Linked DNA regions of Neodiprion lecontei. The protein of the gene in region 1 purifies or fractionates together with the protein of each later gene. This does not show direct contact. Links are inferred from orthologs where the notes say so. Each region holds a gene or a part of one and is shown on either strand. Other genes may lie near its edges.

Region 1 (9,843 bases):
ATTTATAATGAACTGAACACATTGATGGCACTGTTGTGAGAAGAAAATATTTTTCCAATTCTTACATTATCTTCCAAGTCTAACAAAGTATTGTTGTTTTTTTACCAGATGATGAAGTTGTGCAAAGAGAAGAGGAAGCGATTAAACTTGATACGTTAAATGTTGCACAACTTAAGGAGCTTCGAGACAAAGCGGAGAAGTTTACATTCCAAACTGAAGTAAATCGTATGATGAAACTGATCATCAATTCCCTTTACCGCAACAAAGAAATCTTCCTTAGAGAATTGATATCCAATGCATCTGATGCTTTGGACAAAATAAGATTGCTCTCATTGACAGACAAGAATGTATTAGAAACTAACAATGAATTGACCATAAGGATCAAGGCTGACAAAGAGAATAAGATACTTAGCATCACAGACACGGGCATCGGTATGACCAAGAGCGACCTGATCAACAATCTTGGAACTATCGCTAAGTCCGGGACTGCAGAGTTTTTGGGAAAACTACAGGACACTGCTAACGCACAAGACATGAACGATATGATCGGCCAATTTGGAGTTGGATTTTACTCCTCATTTTTAGTAGCTGACAGAGTCGTAGTTACATCTAAACACAACGACGATAAGCAATGGATCTGGGAATCTGACAGCACCAGCTATAGCATTGGTGAAGATCCACGAGGTGATACCCTCAAGCGAGGATCGACAATTAGGTAAGCATTTTCATTATAAATTGCAATGCAAACAGTTAAAATCACTGGTTATTAACAAAATTTGTTTTTTCTGCGTATTACCTATTTCTCTAACTTTACTTTATTTTTCAATGTTTCAAATACTATAGCTTGGAACAACCCTAATTTCTAGTTTTCAATGACAATTTTTTCTAATACTACTATCTTTTCAATTACAGCCTGCACTTGAAGGACGAAGCTGCAGACTTTTTGGAACCTGATACACTGAAGAACTTAGTGAAAAAATACTCTCAATTCATTAACTTCCCTATCTACCTGTGGGCCAGTAAGACTATGAAGGTTGAAGAACCCCTTGATGAGGATGAAATTACGAAAGACGAGGAGACTGAAAAAGATGATAAGACCGAATCTGAGGAGGATGATGCTAAGGTCGAGGAAGCATCCGAGGATGATAAGCCAAAAACTAAAACTGTTGAAAAAACTATCTGGGACTGGGAAATCCTGAACGATTCCAAACCTATCTGGACACGAAAACCAAACGAGGTTGAGGACAACGAATACAACGAATTTTACAAGGCACTTACAAAAGATACCAGCAATCCTTTGGCCAAAACCCACTTTGTTGCTGAGGGTGAAGTTACGTTTAAATCTCTGTTGTTCATTCCTAAGGTACAGCCTGGCGATAGCTTTAATAAGTATGGCACCAAGGGAGATAATATTAAACTGTTTGTCAGGCGTGTGTTTATTACGGACGAATTTAATGACATGATGCCAAATTATTTATCATTCATTCGAGGTATTGTAGACAGCGATGATCTGCCACTTAACGTCTCGCGTGAGACCCTGCAGCAGCACAAATTGATCAAAGTTATAAAGAAGAAACTGATCAGGAAAGTATTGGATATGATAAAGAAGATCCCCAAGGAAGACTACGACAAGTTCTGGAAAGAATACAGTACAAACATGAAACTGGGGGTCATTGAAGATGCCAGCAATCGTGCCAGACTATCCAAACTCCTCCACTTCCAGTCCTCCAACCAAAAAGGAACGACGTCTCTAGGAGATTATGTATCCCGAATGAAGGAGCAGCAACAGCACATATACTACATTGCTGGATCATCGCGTGGCGAAGTAGAGAAGTCTCCGTTTGTTGAGCGACTTCTAAAGAAGGGCTACGAGGTTTTGTACCTAACTGAAGCCGTTGACGAGTACGCCATTTCCTCACTTCCAGAGTTCGACGGTAAGAAGTTCCAGAACGTTGCCAAGGAGGGATTCACCCTTGACGAAGGAAACAAGGCCAAGGAGCGCCTTGAGGAGTACAAAACCACCTTTGAACCCCTCACCAAATGGCTGAACGACGAGGCACTCAAGGATCAGATCAGCAAGGCACAGGTTTCCGAACGTCTGACAGACTCGCCCTGTGCGTTGGTAGCGAGCATGTTTGGATGGACCGGAAACATGGAGAGATTAGCGATATCAAATGCTCATCAGAAGGCGGACGACCCACAAAAATCGTACTACTTGAATCAGAAGAAAACTTTGGAAATAAATCCAAGACATCCACTGATCCGCGAGCTGTTACGCAGAGTTGAGGAAGATCCAAGTGATCCAGCGGCAAAGGATATTGCTGTTATGATGTTCAGAACTGCGACTTTGCGATCCGGCTACATGTTAAAGGAGACTTCGGACTTCGCGTTGAGTGTTGAACAGCTAATGAGAAAGACTCTGGGAATTCCACTGTCCGAGACAGCGGAAGAAGAAGAAGATGGTGAGGAGGATTCCACTTTTGAGACTGAAAAGGCGTCAGAACTTGACGCTGATGAAGAAAAGGAGGACGAAGAGCACGACGAACTGTAAAGAAATTTCTTAGCTTTAAGATATTAAAAGGAAAGACTTTCAAATCTTCGAAGTAAGCTATACAATGTATAGCAGCTTCAAATAAATAACATAACGTTACAATTTTTACATGCAAAAGAGTCAAAAATTTTGCAGTAGGATTTAATTTGAACTTTTTTTTTTTTTTGCCCTTTGATTTGTTCATTTTTTATTCGTAAAAGATGTGTAGCTGGATTATTATTAGCAATAATCTAGGTCGACGGAGAAAATGTGAGACTTGATATTCCGTATAGTGACAAGCTGCATACGTGATACATAGCATCGCAATTGTTTATAGTTGCCTGTCATGCTCGATTATAACAGAATATCAAGGTAGGATCGTTATAACATATTCATTGGTAAATTTTTCATACCAGTTGTTGAAACGCAATGCATTTAATTTATTTTTGTTCTTCCATCACCATACTTCGTGTGTAGTAATCGCGCAAATATCAATTGCGTGTCGTATAGATCCTGTGTATGCTTGTGAGAATGTGTGAGTGTAATTTGTACAAAAAATAAATAAAAACATTATTCAATTTAACTCGTCCCCGGACTTTTATAACAGTGTATAATCACTTCATCATATCTACGTCGTTATATTGTTCTAACGTACACATATGCTTTTTGATGATAAATAAGAAAATTTATAGAATTTTCTATGTAAGAAAAATTACCTACTTGCGTATACCATGCGATCTGCATATATGATATTGATTTCTGTAGGTATGTAGACGTTATTTGATTCGCAAAATCTTAAATCAAGGCATTCGCGTCTGCCATTGTTCGTTCACGATAAAACTATAATATCCGTGTTGAATTTATAAATCGGAATATTATGTATTACGTTTTTGAGATGTGTTAATATTTCTCAAGGATTCAACGTCGATCCGTGCTGAAATTTGCGGGCATATTCATATGTTCATTTTATTATTATTGTTATTGTTATTAGAGCTGATTGAAATGAAAACTTGAATGCGAGACAGACACAAACGCAGCTGCTGCTAGGCGTGATGAACAATTGATTTGTTATTATTGTTGTAAGGAATAAAAGAATTCGTTATTCAACGCCGTGTTTGAAAACAAGACGCGTCTCAGGCATCCGTCGGACATTTTGAATTTCCGTTAAATCGGACGAATCGCGACGAACTTTTCCACTGGAACAAAGTGTAACGGGACAAGTTGGCTGAGCGTGCCCGAGTACATTTCCGTTTTCGAACCCGACGTCAACCATAGTCAAAGTCCGTGTGTTTTGTGTTTCTTTGGAGCCACAATGATTTTCGCTAATTTAACGTAAGTATGTTACAAATAACTGCGATAATCGAGGCCCTAAGTCGCTCAGCTAAACGAAAACCAAATAGCAGCCCACATGTTGAACTAGACGAGCTTGTTCTTTGAGAGATTCTGCTACCTAAAATGCCGTTTTCACCATGCCGGCGAGGAAATTCCTAGCTAATGTTGACCGTTTTTAACGTTGATATACTACTTCGAATAATGGGACTTGTTTCGAGCTCGGCTCGCCTCTTTTAAACGGTAAAATAATTCATGACATGTTATACTTTGTGTCGATGAAAACAGCATTGCTGTACACGTAAACAAAATAAATGGCGTCTCTAGTCACGCTTCTTCGGACACAATGCAGAATGGAAAATTTACTATTCTCGACTGTTCTGCAAATGTCCGAACGTAATGCACATCTTTTTTCGCATTATTTTATACTTCTAAACGGAACGTCCCGATTCATATGCCGACAAGCTTGACGGATCTTGGCTCATTCACTCCTATATTGGGTAATCAAATTAAAACCTCTATTTCACGGAACTTCGGCAATAAACCACGTCATGCTCTACCAGGAGCCGTCAAGAGACTGACAATAATAAAGCAATCAGAGTTTATGCGAACCATTTCATGTTCGATGTTCCCACGCGTTTTTCAGCGTATTAGATTTTCATGAAATTCGGCCGAAGTCAAAGTGACTAAAATTTATTAGATGAAGATTTATCTCTCAACTATTATTATTATGCTTTTTTCTGGGAGGAATAAAACCACACCAATTGTTCTAAACCTCTGTGCTAGCCGTTGATCACAAGTAAAAATTAAACTTGTCCTGATTGCATGATTATGTTCATTTTACTCCCGTTCTGATCTCAATTTTTTCCATGTAATAATTAGATCACTTTCAACGAAATATTATAATTTAGAGATACTTTTAATTCTTACAACTATTTTCGATTCAATTGTCAACTCATAGATGCCAGGTGTAAAGTTACTGAGCGAATAATTGGATCTAAAATAGGTACTCGTAGTTTTAAATAATGAGATGCAACGTTGTCTGATATATTACTGTTAATGAAATATAGCTAATAGTTTGTAGCATTTTGAAGGACGGTTGATGTCCGATTAAGTTACACGAGAGATTTGATTATGCAGAAGCTTCAGATATTTAGGATCAAGTTGCTGCCTGATACTAAAGTGCATGAGATTTAATATGCCGGCAAGAATAATCAAAGCTTTGAGCGTAAAACAAATATTCTCAAAGCATAATTTTGACTAAAATATCAGTCACAAATCTAAAAATGAAGTACATATAAGTGACATTTTGATTTTTTCTTTTCAGCTTTCGACTGTTGAAATTGGAGTTGGACTTTTCTACCTATTAAAGGAAAACATTGAAAATCTAAGAATATATAATCTAGAGAAAAGTAAAAGAAATTAATGAATTGTTGGCTCTGAAAAATAAAATATCAAGATAAAAAAAAATAGTAACATTTCATTAAACAGTGTAAAGTAAAGTTGAATAAAAACAAATACTCTCTTTGTAAAGAGGAATAAAAACCTGTTGCAATGGGTATACAAGATTTACAAGCATTTTTGGACAGCAATGCCATTCAAGGTGGCTCGGTACCTGTAGACTTACTGAGAATCGCTCGTAACGTCGCTCAGAGACAACGCAATCGTTCTGGAAAGGGACAACAACAGTCACCATCGTCCAAACTCAGATTAGTTCTTGATGGAGAATGTTGTCTGGACAGATTGTACGGCGGCTATTTCTCAGGTAAAATCACTCCCCAAACTCATTTGATTGAACTGGAACGAATTCTTAAAAAAAAAAAAAACTTGATAGTCGTCAGTCGGTAAAGTAAAGTGACCTCTGCACTCACATTTTAGACTGGGCTTGCGGTGGTCAATGGAACCGGATGGTACAATTCCTAGCAGTGTTGACACAAGCTACAGAAATGTCTGGAGTAGAGTTGGCTGTGTTTTTCAATGGATCCTTGGAGTCTCCTCGACGCCTTGATTGGATTCAGCAGCAATTGAAAGTTCGAATAAAAGTTAACAATGTAAGTGTCTTACCCAATTTATTTTATGAAATAGAATCACATTAACATACATGCATATAAATTGGATGTAAATTCAATCTCTGTTATAGGTTTTGAAACACATCACAACCAAAGGAACGCCTCCTCCAAAAATTTGGTGGACACCACCAGTCTGTCTACGGACCAGCCTTCGCATGGCACTCCGGCACTTGAATGTTGCAGTGGTAAGAGCTTATTTTTAATACATCTTGTGCAAAATATAACTCACTTTTCAAATACAGAAAATGATAAGTTTGGTCGAAAAGCGTCAAATCATGAGCTATTTTTAGTATTCCAAGATGTGTTAAACCCACAAAATATATATCAGGATGTCTTTTCTTATCACGACGTTTTTAAAGACGTCTGAACGACCGGAGGACAGCTGATGCGAGAAGTTGTAAAATATTTTTGTAAATTTTATTGCAAGGGTTGATATGATTAGTATTTCTAACAGAGGACGCTTATTGATAACTGTCGTCTAATTGAGGGAATCCATTTCTTTTTTCTCTTAACTGAACAGTTGTGCAGCATGGATGATCATCACCAAGAAGTTATCGCCTATTGCCGTGAAAATTATTTCAACGGATTGATAGCCGATGATGCCGAATATGCCGCATTTGATCCACCGAGGTATTTTTCGTCGGAACAATTGAAATTAACCTACAAGGTATTCAATACTCATTTTAACTAATTCGGTGTTCATAATTTAAGAATGATTTTTATAGAATTGGTTGATATTTTTGATCGCAAATAACTATTGGTAGCTGCTGGTTGATTTTTAAAGCAAACTGCAAATTTTGTATCGAATTATTATACCTCACATGTACTACGAAGGTTGTTTTTGTCATTATAGGGTTCCTTGGAAACAAAAGAATACATCATCTCTGAATTCACAAAGTCGCTCAATCTGCCATCAGAGAGACTTTGCACCTTGACTGCATTGCTCGGCAATTATTTACTTACGGAACAAGATTTAGCAGACTTTTACAAAAAACTAAACTTGAACACTAACCCAAATAAAGTAACAGCTGAACAACTAGTCAGAACAGTGGCTAATTTTGTAAAAGATTTGCATTCTGTTGAATTGGATGTTGTAGCACAAAATGTTTTCGGCTCTCTATCTGACCCAAGATGTGTTAAACTCAGACAGTCTGTACAGTACTACATTAACGGAACCAAAGAAGGATTTTTACATTATAAGCCAGTGAAACCAGCTAAAGGTAATTGACGAAGATTTTCTGTAACAAAATGTTGCCAGAAGTTCTATGACATGTTTCATTCACTTATCTCATTACCAAAACAATGTAGTTCCTACATTTTTAATATTCTGTACAGCTCGCAAGTCCGAATCTAAGCAAAATATACCAGTTCAGAAAAATATAGCAGAGGTTCCATCAACAACCTCTGAAGACGATGCTAATTTAGAAACATCACGTTTCGCATCAGAGACTTTAGAGAGTGAACGTGACAGCTTGCAAGCGTACAAACAAGCAACAGCGAATGCCCAAGCTGCTCCGCAAATCGTAATTGAACCACCAGGAATTCAGGGACATGGAGATGCTGATAATAACCGAACCGAAGAAGAACAGAGTAAGTCTAAACTAGCAGTTATGTGAATTAAATTTTCAATTAGACGCCAAACATCGTGGAGTTGATAAATAGAAAATATTTCATTACGCGTTCTGATCTAATTTGATTACTACATTTTTCCTTTTTGACAGACAATGGCCATGCCATAAATGGTACTCATAATCTACTGATCAGTTCTTCGAGCTCGAGTAGTAGTTCAACAGCTACATCTCCCTCGCATATTACGATAGATTCCACTAAACAGTCTGAATCAACAACAAGCATTCCCAGCACTGTTCCGGAAGTTATGCGTACAGCTTCAGAACGACATCAGAAAGGACTGATGTCTCCGCATATATACCAAATTTTGATCGCCGGAGAACTAAAATTGCCAGTTCTGTTAGAGGATGAAAGTCACAAGGAATTCCCATCCATCCACTTGATCTACAGACCTGTGAGGCAAATGGTTTACGCCATTTTGTTCAATGTGCACCACCGCATATACCTCGCCACAAAGAACAAGGAGAAAGGCGGTAAGTCAATTTTCGCAAAAAAATTTAATCTATGATAACAATCTGAACTTGAGGAACATTTGTAGGGCTAGTAATTGCTAACAGTACCTCGTCACTGAAAAAAGTAATGTGTAAAATCTAACGAGTTGTAGCATACTTTCAGTAACTTCTTACAGGAAGATTTATGTCACATTCACGATATTCATTATATCCATAAAAATTTTGATTAGAGGCCGCAGGAAAGAATAGAAGACCAGGCAAGAAAAGTAATCACCATTTATTCCTCTACCGCATGGCAATTAGATTATTTATTATTGAGTTTTATTAGGTTTGGACAAGCAATGTGTCATTAGACTATCAACTTCAGCATTTAGCATTCATTTACCTTTCCAAATTACCATCACCCAACGATATATCCAATTCGTGGAATAAGCTTATGGTAACAAGCATGTATAAATAAACTACTTTTCAACACAGTTCCTATGTTTCGGTGGATGCAGATTTAGTCCTAGTTTTTCTGATATTGCAACTTCCTGGTAGTCATGATCGATAGTTGTGTAAAATTTTCCCAACCCATTTCGGTATTACTTTCCAAAATCAAAATCATGAAATCATTCTTTATCTAAAAAGTTTTCCGACAGTACAGCTACCAATTTTTATTCTCAACTATCGTAACAGATAACGAAAAAGTGGACGTACCTGACGTCGTGATCAAAGAATGGGTGTGGTCAAAAACGAACTGCTACCAGACACCCGAATTGGTAAAAGCTGAGCAAATTGGATGGGGTGTTCCTACAATACAGCGTTTATGGTTTGGGTGAGTATGGATATTTGATACGTAGCCTCATTTTCTGTTATAGTGATTGGCATAGCTGAACATGAAAAACAAAAAAACATGACTTTCAAAATTGTCAGGGCCTCATGAAGTACAGAATTATTGTTTAGCTTCTTTATCCATCCAACATACTCGTTCGTTGCAGCTCCCATGGGCATCATAGGTATGTCCACTGATGTTTGTGTTGATGTTGTAATTTGAGGCGAACAGAATCAATTTCAAAGTATAGCAATTCATAGCCATGTTTCGTTTAGCTTATATTTTAAATTACTGATTGCCTTGCTTGGATACGCTAAAGATGCGAATTTCATTAGAAGAAATGAAGTGGACGAAATATGTCTAGCTTGTCATGAACAAAATAAATTTATTCTCTTGCAAAGGATTGCAACTCATAATTATCGGTTAACTTTTTCCAGTACAGGGATCGACGACAAACGCCGGAGACTTCGAGGATTCTTAACTTGCCTGAAATCAGACACACCTCTCATGTTGAATCCTTCTTATGTTCCTCAACATTTGTTGGTCATGGCTTGTGTTTTGAGGTAAATATAAATTAAATTATAAGTTATTGAAATTTTTTCACTGTGACTCAAAACAAAAGAAGATTCTTGTTTCGACCAATGTTCACGTCTTTTAACGTGTGAAAATTCATTCTTATGACATGACTTCATTCTCCCACCTTTTAAAATGGTTCAACCATTACCAGACCTGCAATGTTGAGCTTCCTTAGCATAGCTATGGTGTGAATACTAACTTACCATAGTCATTAGAGGAAGTAGAGGAACTGAAAAACTTAATTTTTGAGTGAATAAACAGCGTTAAAATATCAAGTATTTTCAAATATGGGTGTAGGAGTAGTTGAATTCCTTGTCAACTGTTTCTGAATGATATTTGAAACAAACTTGTCTAGTTATCTTCATGAAAATAGTATTTATTTATCTCTATTTTCAAATCTGCAATAGCAGGTGTCTTTCAATTTGGCTGTTTAAATCTTAGGTA
Region 2 (12,773 bases), about 1.4 Mb from region 1:
TCACCATCATGACAGAGCCGTAAGTAACGATTACTACTTGCTACTACAGGTAATTACTAGGAAAATCGGAGTGCACGATCATGCATTTAATAGCCGGCGGCAGTCGCGAACCGTAGCTTTAATAATCGTCTTTCACATGTTTGACCTACTTTAATGCAACGTTTTCCGTACATTTACCTCCCGCGCGAATCACAGTTCCTGTTCATGTTGCGCTACACCATTACGAAACGCCATGTTCTACTAGTAATCAAAGATAATCGTATATCCGAAATGTCGGTCATAGTCCAGCACTGTAATATCCGGGCTACCTCAAGGGCAGTCAATGACGAATGCAGTAATTTATCTGCCATGCAATGTTACTACTACTCACAATTAGAAATTTTCGTAGAACACAAAAATTGTTTATCACCATTTATTGAATAAATTTTACACTATCTTTTGATTGAATTTGTTTTGAAAGTTCTAATTTTCTTACATATCTTGTTGAATGCCGAATGAACCACAAATGTACAGTTTTTGTTCATGCTCAATCTTGTCATTCTCATCTTTTTACAGTGTCGCTGATATTGCCCTTATCGGTCTTGCCGTTATGGGACAAAACCTGATCCTGAACATGAACGACCATGGGTTTGTCGTTTGCGCTTACAATCGTACGACAGATAAGGTGAAATCGTTCTTAGAAAATGAAGCCAAAGGCACCAAAGTAGTGGGTGCCTTTAGCTTGGAGGAAATGGTTTCCAAGCTAAAATTGCCACGTCGTATTATGTTGTTAGTCAAAGGTTCGTATCCTTTTATAACAGATCTTAGTATCATGATGGAAAAATTATGAACATATAACCAGCTCTAATAAAGGCAGTAATCGTAGTTCTGAAAACATTAGTGCTGATGACATTCAAGCCTAAAAATCACTTGAATTCTAAGGATATCGCTAAAACGTTGTTTTTTGTCTACATATATGCACATGACGTCACAAAGTCACATTTACAATTCGTATCGAGCTTAAATTATGATAATGCTAATGTACTTAGTAATCTCAATGGCTAGAATGTTTTCAGTTACATCATGATTGTTATGTAAGATTGCTTGAAACTCTCAAAAAATACCCATCGAGGTGAAACTTATACACCTTGAATTCGAATCATATGTGCGAAATTCTTCCGTCAGCAAGCAGAAAGCATCATTATTGTAACAATAAAGCACTAACCGGCTTTTAATATCACTAAATCTCGGTACCAATCAAACTCTATGAAATATTAAATTGTGCGAAAAAATGTCTGCTGTAACTTCAAAGCCTTCAGCACATAACAGTTAATACAGCTAATACAACATATAACACTTGTATTCTATTTCCAGCTGGTCCAGCTGTCGATGGGTTTATAGATAAACTGGTACCACTTTTGTCATTGGGAGACATCATTATTGACGGTGGTAATTCTGAATACCAAGATACTCAAAGGCGTACGGAGGAACTGGAGAAGAAGGGGATCCTCTTCGTTGGCAGTGGCGTTAGTGGAGGAGAGGATGGGGCCAGGTATGGGCCATCCCTCATGCCAGGTGGCAATCCCAAAGCATGGCCTCATATCAAGCCTATTTTCCAGGTAATTGCCAATCAAGGGCTAGGCGAATAGATATTGCTTTATTTATAGTTGGAAATTGCCTCAAAAAAATTTGTGTGTCTAGCGTCTTGACTCTTTGTCATAAAATTATTGCTGTCACTACTCAGAGAATCATGAATATAAACTACATTCGGGACAGTAATTCGAAATGTTAATACACTACGAATATTTCAGTCGATCTGCGCCAAGAGTAACGGTGAGCCATGTTGCGATTGGGTCGGAGAGACAGGGGCTGGACACTTTGTGAAAATGGTTCACAACGGTATAGAGTACGGAGACATGCAACTGATCTGCGAAGCTTATCACATCATGAGAAACGGGCTTGGTCTGAACCCACAGGAAATGAGTGACGTTTTTGGCGAGTGGAACAAGGGGGTGCTTGATTCTTTCCTAATTGAAATTACCCGAGATATCTTGAAGTACAAGGATGGGAAGGGCTATCTTCTCGAAAGAATCAGAGACACAGCTGGGCAGAAGGGTACAGGAAAGTGGACGGCTATCGCTGCCTTGGATTACGGGATTCCTGTCACGCTAATTGGAGAATCAGTGTTTGCAAGGTGTCTCTCCTCGCTCCAAGGTGAGAGGATTGAAGCTAGCACCGTTTTGGAGGGTCCAAACGCTGTTTACCAAGGAGATAAAAAGCAATTCCTCGAACATCTTCGGAAAGCGCTGTATGCTTCGAAAATCATTTCGTATGCTCAAGGATTCATGCTGCTAAGAGAAGCTGCTAAAATTCACAACTGGAATTTGAATTATGGTGGAATTGCGCTCATGTGGAGAGGTGGATGTATCATCAGAAGGTGAGAGAATTCTTTAATTGATTGCCACCCTCTCTGTAGATGCCACGAATTGGCCCGATCCAATTTGAAAGAAAAATCATCATCCTAAATGAAGGTAAACGTACGAAAATGGTTATCAATGTATTATGGATTATGATTACAGCGCCTTTTTGGGAAACATCAAGCAAGCCTTCGACAAGAATCCAAAGCTGACCAATCTGTTGCTTGATGATTTCTTCGCGAAAGCAATGAAGGAGTGCCAGGCGAGTGCTAGAGTGACGGTGGCAACAGCTGTAACTCTTGGAATACCGACTCCTGCTCTGTCGACTGCCTTAGCATTTTACGATGGGTTTAGAACAGCGCGTCTTCCTGCAAACTTACTGCAGGCTCAGCGTGATTACTTTGGAGCCCACACTTATGAGCTACTTGGCGCGGAAGGAAAATTTGTTCATACTAACTGGACAGGCCACGGAGGCAATGTATCTGCGTCTACCTATGACGCGTAAATAACGAGTTATGAACAGCGCTGGTAGTTGTTCATACCAAAAGAGAAAGGGCTCTCCGTCATGCAAGACAATTACCGGTTAGCTTTTATTCTCCCTGTCATTTTACGGATGCGGGTTTGTCACCAGTTACGATTGCTGAAATGAGGTGGTTTTATTTTTCTGCAATCGTTTTAGGATACAAATTTCTATCTTTTTTTTTTCGTCGTAAATCAAATCAAGTGCACTTTGTATGAAATTTGGATTGTAACGGCTACATTTAGGGCACTTGGAGTAATAAATAATCGGCATAGGAAATATTTATACGGTATCGTTTATTACTCTTAAGACTGTTGCAACATTCCGAATACATTACGAATACATATTATAGTTGTTTCATAAGTTTGTACATTTTGCGATAGTCATTTAAATTATAATATTGTAACAAAATAGATCAATGTATGAAACATTTGTTTGCAATATAATTTTAGTACGAAAATCAGTTAAAGTCAATCAGATCAGCGTATGGAAGCGGAAAAAGTGAAAATTTTAATCGAAACGTTGTTCAACTGAATAAAACTGTTTTATTCTTACTACTTCTACGCCCTGCAACATTTTTGCGTGTCCAGCCTATAAGCCCCGTTGCGCGCATACAGATGACACAATCATTTCGCCGAATAACGGTATAAGTCTAAATCCCGAAATTTTGTAATGAGAAAAGCAACAAGTTGATAAGTTCGCTGAAAGAATAATTAACCTAGGTGTAATAAGGCTAATTTCAGCTGAAGAATCGAATCTCATTAAGTATCTACGCAAGAGAAGTAATTAAATTTTACCATCTATTGTATATTCTATCGCTTTCATTACAGTACATATAATAAATTATTCCATATCTGCGCATATTTCTGACCGGTACCAAAATTACACGACCTGTAATCGATGGCACATAACGCGCACAACACTGTCACGAGCAAACCGGGTACCCGGCAGCTTTAACTGATTGTAAGTGATAACAATCTCCGGTTTACCGTTGTAAAAACTGTCGGCAGTTTGATGCGTGAATGGTATTGAAGGGATGAAATACGGAGCCGAAGTCGTAGACTCAGCGATGGTACATCACGTTTCATGTAACACATGTGTCACATAAATTGTACCGTTACGTGTTGCCTTTGATGTGTCGGCCCTGAAGTCGTTGAATTTTAGTTCTCGTTGGCAGCGTGGAAGGCAGGCAACAGCAGCCGCAGCCAGTATATTCACATTTCACTAGTAAAATGGCTGATCACAGAGACCGCGAGGCGTATTATTCTCAGTCGGATCCGCGTTCGAAGAACGACGACCCACCGAATTCAAGATTGTTTGTAATCTGTCATAAAAGTTTGGAGGAAGATGACCTCAGGAAGGCGTTCGAAAAGTTTGGAAAAATTGAAGATATTTGGGTTGTTAAGGATCGAAACACTGGGGAAAACAAGGGTAATTGGATAAATCAATAACTTTCACTAGCGTCTCATTTTCGGTTATTTACATATCATGTCATTTCACCAATTGCATATTTTCACCTCTCAGTATTTTCATCCCAACTGTTCTGCGTTTTGAATGCAATCGGAAACTTCTGTTCGAATGCCGCCGGCGTTTACCGATAACTATAGTACCTAGTGTGGCTAGCCTCTAAACTTTTCGACCAGTTTTAGAACTTCCGCTAATTAATACTTACACAACGTGATTTCGGCACCAAACCTCCAAATTATGCATCCTATTTGCACATATGGCTCAGATCACGTGATATTATATCGTATCTTACTAGTTTTAGTTTATCCAAATTATCCAATACTGAACCTTTATGCATTGTATCATCTTTTTATGAGAAGCTTTTCACTGCATACGAATTTTTATCTCGCACAACCCTACTGTGCCCTGGAGATTTTATTGATAACGTAATTTTATTGTTACAAAGCAACTGATCCCCTCAAACAATGTCTTACGAAATTTAAACGTCTTCAAAACATCACCTGTAATTAATCAGATGCATATAATTTAAATGTAGAGATTGCATACAATGGTGTCATCCATACATGAGTTTTCAATGTCGACTCTACTTTCTTAGAAATTGACCTTTTATCAGATGAGCATAATTATCTTCAATACTGTACTCCACCCACAAATTTAACAACTAAGTTTACCGATTTTCTCTCTTGGAAGTTGATCTATTTATGAGTCTTGCTTATATTTGATAGACGTAATATCTTTGAATTAACATAGACTGGAAATCCAAAGATGAGAGAGAAAACAAATGAATCAATCAACTAAAAATTGTTTAAAAATCCGTTTGATCGACCTTAAAATAAATTTAAGGTATCAAGATGTTTTCTTTGCAATAATTTCATATTCTTATTGTGTTACTTTGTGCAGGGGTCACATATATTAAGTTTTCGAAGACATCGGAAGCTGCTTTTGCATTGGAAGAAATGAATGGAAAAATGTTGGGAAGCGTTGGTCGACCAATTAAAGTTATGATCGCATCTAAGTGAGTATAATAAAGCTATGCTACTTGAAAGTGATGTTAACTAACATGAAAATTTTAGATGAATTTTCATCAACATTACGTGCAAAAGTTAAATATTGAACATTTGTAAGAATGCTGTAAGTTGAATCTGTACGAAGTGAATTTTAACATGTGAAAATTTTATTGTACTCTGAAAATACTGTTGTACAAGTCATCGTGAACTGTACGAGATGAATAATGGGACAAATATTTCCTATCCAGCTGTAATAATATTTTGAATAAGATGAAGTGAAATAAAGTTTTGCATAATGTATTTTCAGCCGAGACCAAGGATCTGTCAGAGAAACAAACGAGGAGGAGAGGTGGGTACGTTTGTTTTGTGTGCTACCAAAGTCAATGACTGATGGAGAACTGCAGCAGGAATTTTCTAAATTTGGTCCTATTGATTACGTAACGGTAGTCAAGGACAGGATTACAAATGAATCGAAAGGTTTCGGCTATGTCAAATTCAGAAAGGTATCAAGTGCAGCTAAGGCATTCGAAGAGTGTGACAGAAAGTACAAAGCTGTCTTTGCTGAGCCAAAGAAGCCCAAACCGGATCATAGCGATTTAAAATATAACAATGGTATCTCTGCAAATTATGATAGCCATGGAGGAGGATACGGCACCAGTAATTTTGGCAAAAGTAGCATCAGCCTGGAGATTGCAACTAATTATCCGAATGCAGAAGGTTATACTCGATTACAGGTCATAGCACATCCGGCCTTGAATCAAGACCAGCTTTGGAGACTTTTTGACATTGTTCCTGGCTTAGATTACTGTCATTTGAAAATGGACATGAGATATCGAATGCCGCGAGGGCAAGCGACGGTGGTTTACTCAAATTCCAGTGCTGCTGCTTACGCTAGGGAAAAGTTTCACGGTTTCGAATATCCTCCCGGTCACAGAATGATTGTAAAACCTGATGTGACTGGTGGAAGTCCTCAGAGAAGTACAGCTAAACCTGGCACCTCCAATTCATCTGGTATAGCTGGCACAAGAACAGATTTAGCTCACTTGGCTGAAACTATTGCCCAAGCTACATCATTGATTCAAGCTGCTGGTCTTACGGCACCAAGTAAGTATGAATCCCAGAATATCAAACTAATTTCACATTCAAAATACTTGATATCAGAAACTAACGGTAACTTTGTAAAATTGCTCCTTTTTCATTAACATTTATATGATTATTATTGGTTCAAATTATGAAAATTAGTGTCTAGCAAAAAATACGCCACATTTTGAATGGGCCTAAGTTTCATTGAGAATGAGTATGTGATGTGAGATCAAAGTCGACAGTCTGTAGACGTTTTACTTTACATTTTCTATATTAAGATTAGTTTAAGTTGCCAAGTGTCAAAGCATTGTTTTTAATACGAATTTTATCGCACGAAACAGGTGTTGGTCCGTTGGTTACAGGTTTGGAACATACAGTGAATATAAAACTTCCACCCGTTGAGCCAATGGCTAGTATTGATGCAGAAATTGCTAAGAGATGTTTTATTGTGTGTGGACCACCTGTGCCTCCAATTTATGCTATGAAAGATGCTTTTTGTAGATTTGGGAACTTGATAGATGTGTATATGCTTCCTGGAAAAAATTGCGGATACGCAAAATATGCGTCTGCCGAAAGCGCGGACAAAGCTATTAAGGTCAGTTCATTAATTTTCTAATTACGATAACGGTATTCTAATATTGTGTGTTGATAATTCCGAGACTTGTGGTTAAATCATTTTTCGAGCACCAATGATGTCGACCTGTATGCGTAAATTTTTCTGTACCAATTCGTTATGCCCTTAAGTGCTTTGCATTTGCTCTACAGTGTTACCTTTCTTTTCGTTGTAGAGAAATCTACCGCTTAATTTTTCGAACGGGAAATTTTCTACGAAGGTAGTTTAATGTTTAATTGTAGACACTGCACGGACAAGAGATCTGTGGATCACGTTTGAAGGTGTTGGAAGCTGAGGAGAGGAACGTGGGCGACGATCGTCGAAAGCGTCTCCGAATGGACGAGGATGAAAATTGAGGATGTTCTACACAACACGTAAGTAACAAATTGCACCGAGACCGAAGCAACGCACGTTTGCGAATTTCTTTTTGTACCCTCGTAAATGTTGTCGGACGTTGTTATATCTTGGCAGCGAAAAAAAATGTAATGTTTCTATTTGTCTCCACAGACTGACTGGTATACACAAGCTGGACGCACGCCACAAATGAGACGAATTTTAAGACACACTGACCACGTCGGGCCTGCAGCCAAGGAAACTACTTCAACCTACTTTTATACAATCGCTTACGTTGGAAAACTCAAACGTTACTGAAAACTAACTTTACTCTACTTATCCATACTTATTACTACACTTTGCTCAGTTTATTCGATACCATAGCTCCGAGTAGGCCTGTGCAAGCAGTGATGTATATTTATTTACACACACACACACATATATATATATTTTTGTTTTATAGAATAGATCAAAGTTGATTTCACTGAATTGACATAGACAAACGGCATAATATTAATTTATAGTGACACCAGAAGGGGGGGGGGGGGGCAGTACATGAGTGTGTATGTGCAAGTGTATGTGTGTGTTTTTATTCATCGTTGTATTTAATATTTTACATCTACTTAACAGAAACAATCTGCAAAAGATTTGAAAAAAATTTCAATCTTACAATCTTTTCTTTTCATCCAAATCCGTCTCTCAATATGTTATGTATACCTGTGTACTCTTATTCAGGACCAATTTTATCCGTTTAATATTAACGTTGAAAATCGTCTTACTTTACTACAAATTATTACGAAGTACGGTATGTACATTGGCCAAACGTTGATGCAATACTTGATACTCACACAGTGCATCGTATATTGAAATTGGCCCAGCAATCAAGTTAATCGCGCCAGCGAGAATTTTCCTTTTTTCAAATTTCAAGAGTTGAAGGGGTATTATATTGGTTATAAAATGCATCGCGGTAAATGTTTTATATTTAATTATGACGTGTTATTTCATTGGAATTTGACCAATACTACGTATGTACATGGTTGATAACAAGGATTTTCATGCTGAAATCAGAAATGTTAACTGACGGGCAGAAATACGATTAATAAGCGTGTCGTACAGAGTATTTCATATTTAATTATTTTTAATATACAAAATACTGATTGAAAATTGAATTCTTATTACAAATTTATAAAATTCATTATACATAGTCGTATACCTAACTAGAGTATTAAAAAAAAAAAAAAAATAAAATACACCAAAGCAATTGCCAATCGGATGGCAGACAGGCCACAATAAACCGTTTGTCAGATTGAATAGTAATGTGATTTCAGGAAATGACTTTGCGCATTTTTACTCTTAATTGCATTAGATGCAATTAACTCGAGACTAATGAAATGCTTGCCGTACATTGATAACATTGAAAATCTAGTTAAGCTTGTAATCGCAACGTTGAGCGCGGTTGAATTTTCTATTTACGATCATATGCTACATACGATAGATACATTTTACAAATTACATGACTGTAACTGACTTGTTCATAAGATATCAAATACAGATTCTCTATAAAAACTTTCCCAATGACCTTACTCACTTATTTATGCAGAAAATTGATTTCCCACTGACGTGACTGTTGATCAAATGTCCCTTAATAAATGTTCATAAATATGTTTTTTATTTGCAGGAAATCCAAGCTAAACCTGTACCTGAAGACTGTGATAAATTTGAAAAATCAATGTATATACATTTTTTTTTAGTACGAGTATACGTATTATTGAAATGAAAATGACCTTTTATGAAAATAAAGTATATATTTATACGTGATATATCGCGTTCTGAATGTCTTTACAACCCAGAGATACTTGTATCATAATCTCCCTCGTTAAAATATTACCTGTTACCTTGAACTACTCGTCGAATAATTTTTGAATTTCAGATTCATCATACACTGAAAAAAATCAGTTATATCAACTAAATCGTCGATAACCGGCGGCCGAATAAATATTTAAATACTGCAATTAAACATTAGTTGTCACTTATACGTCGACTAGTGTTGAGTTGTAGCGATTAATTTTCTATTCGGCTGTCTATGTTCGTCCATTTCATTAATTCAACTGATTTTTTTCTTCGTGAAAAAAGAAAATTTTTATGTGGTTTTGATATCTCTCAGCGACAGCAAAAATATGTCGTGATTAAGCATATGGTACCGTATGAACTTGCATTATTCTGAAACGGTCAGTCATTATAAATGCTGGAACAAAATTAAGTATATTCGGTCTTTTTTTCGGTTGAGTATTCGATACGCCACAGTCTAATATGTTTCATCTAAAATTTTGTTGTTGAAATAATTGTGATGTATAATGATGTATGTTTATTGATGTAGTATTTACTGACAGTATTATTATACTGTAGCTGATTGTAACTTGACAAATCAATCAAAGTTAGCGTACGTCTCGAAGGACTTGATGTACTCCGCTGCGGCGTTGTACAAGTATTCGAATTGTTCCTGTGATAAAATAAAATATGCTTTGCGTCATTAGGCTGGCATTAGTGATTTTTACTTTTCATCACCTTTGGTGATATCAGAAAAGTACTGATTTCGGTCGAAAATCGCTTTTTCTGATCTTCACGAGTCTTTACGTTTTTGAAATTCTAATATCCGAAAAACAGGTTTTTAGAAAAATGTCGTCTGGATGTCGTTCTGTCCGTCTGACCGACAAGCTCCTGCGATGATCTCGAAAGCGGTTTGACGAAAAAATTTGAAACTTACAGGATTTAACAATCAAGTGATGGGCATCAAGAATTGCCATGTCCCGTTTAATTTGAATTTCCGGTTCTTCCGGAAATTAATCGATTTTCAATATTTTACCGATAAATCTATAGGGCATTCCATACGAAACCGACCAATCCGTGGCCCCGACCATTTTTGATTTCGTTGAAAATCTATTTTTTTTATACCTACTGAAAGCAGTCTTTCGAATTTTTTAAAGATTTTTGTCTGAACCCGTTCAATCAGAATAAATTTTTCAAAATTTTGCACTATTTTTTTTAAATAGGTACTCGTAGCTTTTTCAAAAACAGATAGAACAAAATGCTAGGTCTTTTTATTCATTTTGGGATGTACTTCATGAAGAAAATATGAAAAAACATCGAAATTCATTTTCAGTTTTTCAGTTTTAAACCCAAAATGTTTTTTTCAAATCATGTATTATTTTAATTTTTTTTGTAAAATACACCACTCTTCAAGAGACATTTTTACAAGTATTGAAAAATTCGTAGCTTGTGATAATCATAACTTGTATTTTTTTCTATTTTTTATCGCGTGTGAACTAAGAAATCGTGTTTCCTCTTTGAATTAATAACGCAAGTAGAGTGATTTGACTCGAGTTATTATTTTCGATTTTTCATTCAAAAATTTTTCAGTTAGCTGCCAAGTTCTATCGGTTTCAGATTTTTCACTCGGCCGTTTTCGAGGTCACCGAAGAAATTTGTCGGACAGACCAACAGAGTTTCCTTTTCATGGTGATGAAAAGTATCGTGAAAAAACTGTTTTTCCGGTTTGTTGTTATTGTACCACTGAATCGGCGAAATACTAGTCAGGCGAATTTACTGCATTGACCGATTTCCTCCGAGTACGAGTTTCGGCGACAGCATTGAAACAAATCGGCAAACCAATTTGTTTTCTTGGGGGGGTAATTTTGACGAGAATTTTTGTATACGGGTCCATTGTGAATTGACTTTACCTGAGACTGCACAAAACACGGTCTTGCCCGACGAACAGCTCGAACGGCTAAAATGATGTCACATTCTCGTTCGACGGCCATTCTTTCCAAGACAAAACTCAAAGCCAAGTAGAGACCGCAGCCGGTGACGCCATCGCTGAAAATAACGACAATTCCGGTGCAGAAAAAGGCGAGACTACTTAAGGAAATAAGTAGCTATTCTTGCCATTTTTTATCAGCATACCGGCTTCCGGTGAAACAGAAAATGTCTGTATTAACTCTGACAATTACGTAAATATTTGTCACGCAGGATATGAACGGAAAAACCGCGCTACAAGATATCCAATAGATAAGAGGGTACATTTAATTCTTACAAATAAATGAATCAGTTGTCACTTACTGACAAAGAACCAGCGTTGGCCCTTGTTCTCGATGAATATCCTCCGATATTATCCAGAAGCTAACCAGATCTTTTGGCGGTGGCGGTTTTCCACCACGTCCTAAACCCCATTCCGTGCATGTCAACACTGTAACTTGACGAAACTCTGACGAACCCTTTGTGAAACAGAAAATGCAGATAATGTTCAGTGAAATTTTTTCAACCGAGTTTACTAACAATAGTCCTCTACCGAAAGGCGTATCGACAAATGTCCGATTACTTCGAATAATATCCTTTATAAAAGTTGTAAAACACACCCCTGACTTGTCGGTGAGTAGAACCTCGTTGATATGAAAAGATTTCGTTGGGTCTGAGCTTGTTTTCACTGCCACATTTAAGGAGGGTACAGGATTGAACGAATCTTTGTTCATCATGACGTCACAGCATGTCTGCAAAAATAGATTAGTGGGAAATTAAACGTCCACGGCTACACGTATTTTGATAAAAATAAATGCAACGTTGATCCATGGATCCTTGATTAGGTACACGCGAGGCTTGTCCGTGGTTCGGAATTTTTTGGTCTAATACTCACGGGATCGTCGGGGTCAGGTTTTTGCAAAATGATAACCAGCTCCACCTTCTGCTCAGCAATTAGTCTCCAGAGGTTTGAAATCGTCGAAGCCATGGGTAATTGGGAGGCGAGGAATTGCTTCTTGAATTTAAATCCATCGACCGTGACCGCGCTGATGTAATCATCGTAGTTGTGCGCTCGATTACGTGATAGGTAGACCAGATTGGAACAGTCTGTACTCGAAATGAAAATATACGTACGTTAAATCGTTGATACATCGTACACGTAACGGTATATAGTTTAGAAATTATTGACATGGCCCAAGTTGTTGTACTTGTTGTCTGACCTGGTGCAAGTTCCGGGTATCTGTTTTTCACAAGGTGTTCTGGAAGTGGTGGCAAGGATCTCATCCACGGACACAGCGTCTGATCTTGCCAAACGGTGTTACGAAGCCTAAAATGCGATATAAACATAAAAAGGCGCGTGTTCGGATAACGGTTACTTTTGTAATTGGGACGCGAACCTTTCTATGTGCTGCGGTAATTTTTCCTTTATGCTCTCTATAGCCAGGGGCAAATCATTGTTGCATGGTATCTCCGTAGGTTGTGCGGCCAAGTATTCGGCCATGACAATGTGAGCAAACACGTATTGCATTTCAGTGTCTACCATGTTGGAGCGACAGTCACGA

What was found. Proteins that work in one complex are often made in the same cells at the same time.
Region 2: the proteins of constitutive coactivator of PPAR-gamma-like protein 1 homolog (region 1) and RNA-binding protein 45 purify together in Homo sapiens (co-immunoprecipitation; 3 studies listed by BioGRID and IntAct, with this or other methods). This does not show direct contact. The link is inferred for Neodiprion lecontei from reciprocal best matches to the Homo sapiens genes FAM120A and RBM45.

Annotation. Positions count from the first base shown.
Region 1 is NC_060263.1:38,265,071-38,274,913, reverse strand, and holds the start of constitutive coactivator of PPAR-gamma-like protein 1 homolog, read left to right. Parts: upstream 1-3,749; 5' UTR 3,750-3,862; intron 3,863-5,186; 5' UTR 5,187-5,413; coding exon 5,414-5,624; intron 5,625-5,737; coding exon 5,738-5,910; intron 5,911-5,999; coding exon 6,000-6,113; intron 6,114-6,448; coding exon 6,449-6,595; intron 6,596-6,781; coding exon 6,782-7,148; intron 7,149-7,263; coding exon 7,264-7,518; intron 7,519-7,649; coding exon 7,650-8,030; intron 8,031-8,239; coding exon 8,240-8,275; intron 8,276-8,687; coding exon 8,688-8,826; intron 8,827-9,260; coding exon 9,261-9,386; intron 9,387-9,840; coding exon 9,841-9,843. Other genes in the region: endoplasmin, read left to right, coding at 109-715, 913-2,551. UniProt on the Homo sapiens protein: Component of the oxidative stress-induced survival signaling. May regulate the activation of SRC family protein kinases. May act as a scaffolding protein enabling SRC family protein kinases to phosphorylate and activate PI3-kinase.
Region 2 is NC_060263.1:36,898,867-36,911,639, reverse strand, and holds RNA-binding protein 45, read left to right. Parts: upstream 1-4,095; 5' UTR 4,096-4,148; coding exon 4,149-4,347; intron 4,348-5,283; coding exon 5,284-5,398; intron 5,399-5,697; coding exon 5,698-6,494; intron 6,495-6,814; coding exon 6,815-7,068; intron 7,069-7,328; coding exon 7,329-7,442; 3' UTR 7,443-7,460; intron 7,461-7,593; exon of another isoform or gene 7,594-8,719; intron 8,720-9,097; 3' UTR 9,098-9,237; downstream 9,238-12,773. Other genes in the region: 6-phosphogluconate dehydrogenase, decarboxylating, read left to right, coding at 9-19, 556-779, 1,354-1,598, 1,791-2,416, 2,559-2,901; receptor-type tyrosine-protein phosphatase epsilon-like, read right to left, coding at 9,845-9,919, 11,157-11,292, 11,536-11,690, 11,832-11,963, 12,107-12,318, 12,432-12,538, 12,609-12,773. UniProt on the Homo sapiens protein: RNA-binding protein with binding specificity for poly(C). May play an important role in neural development.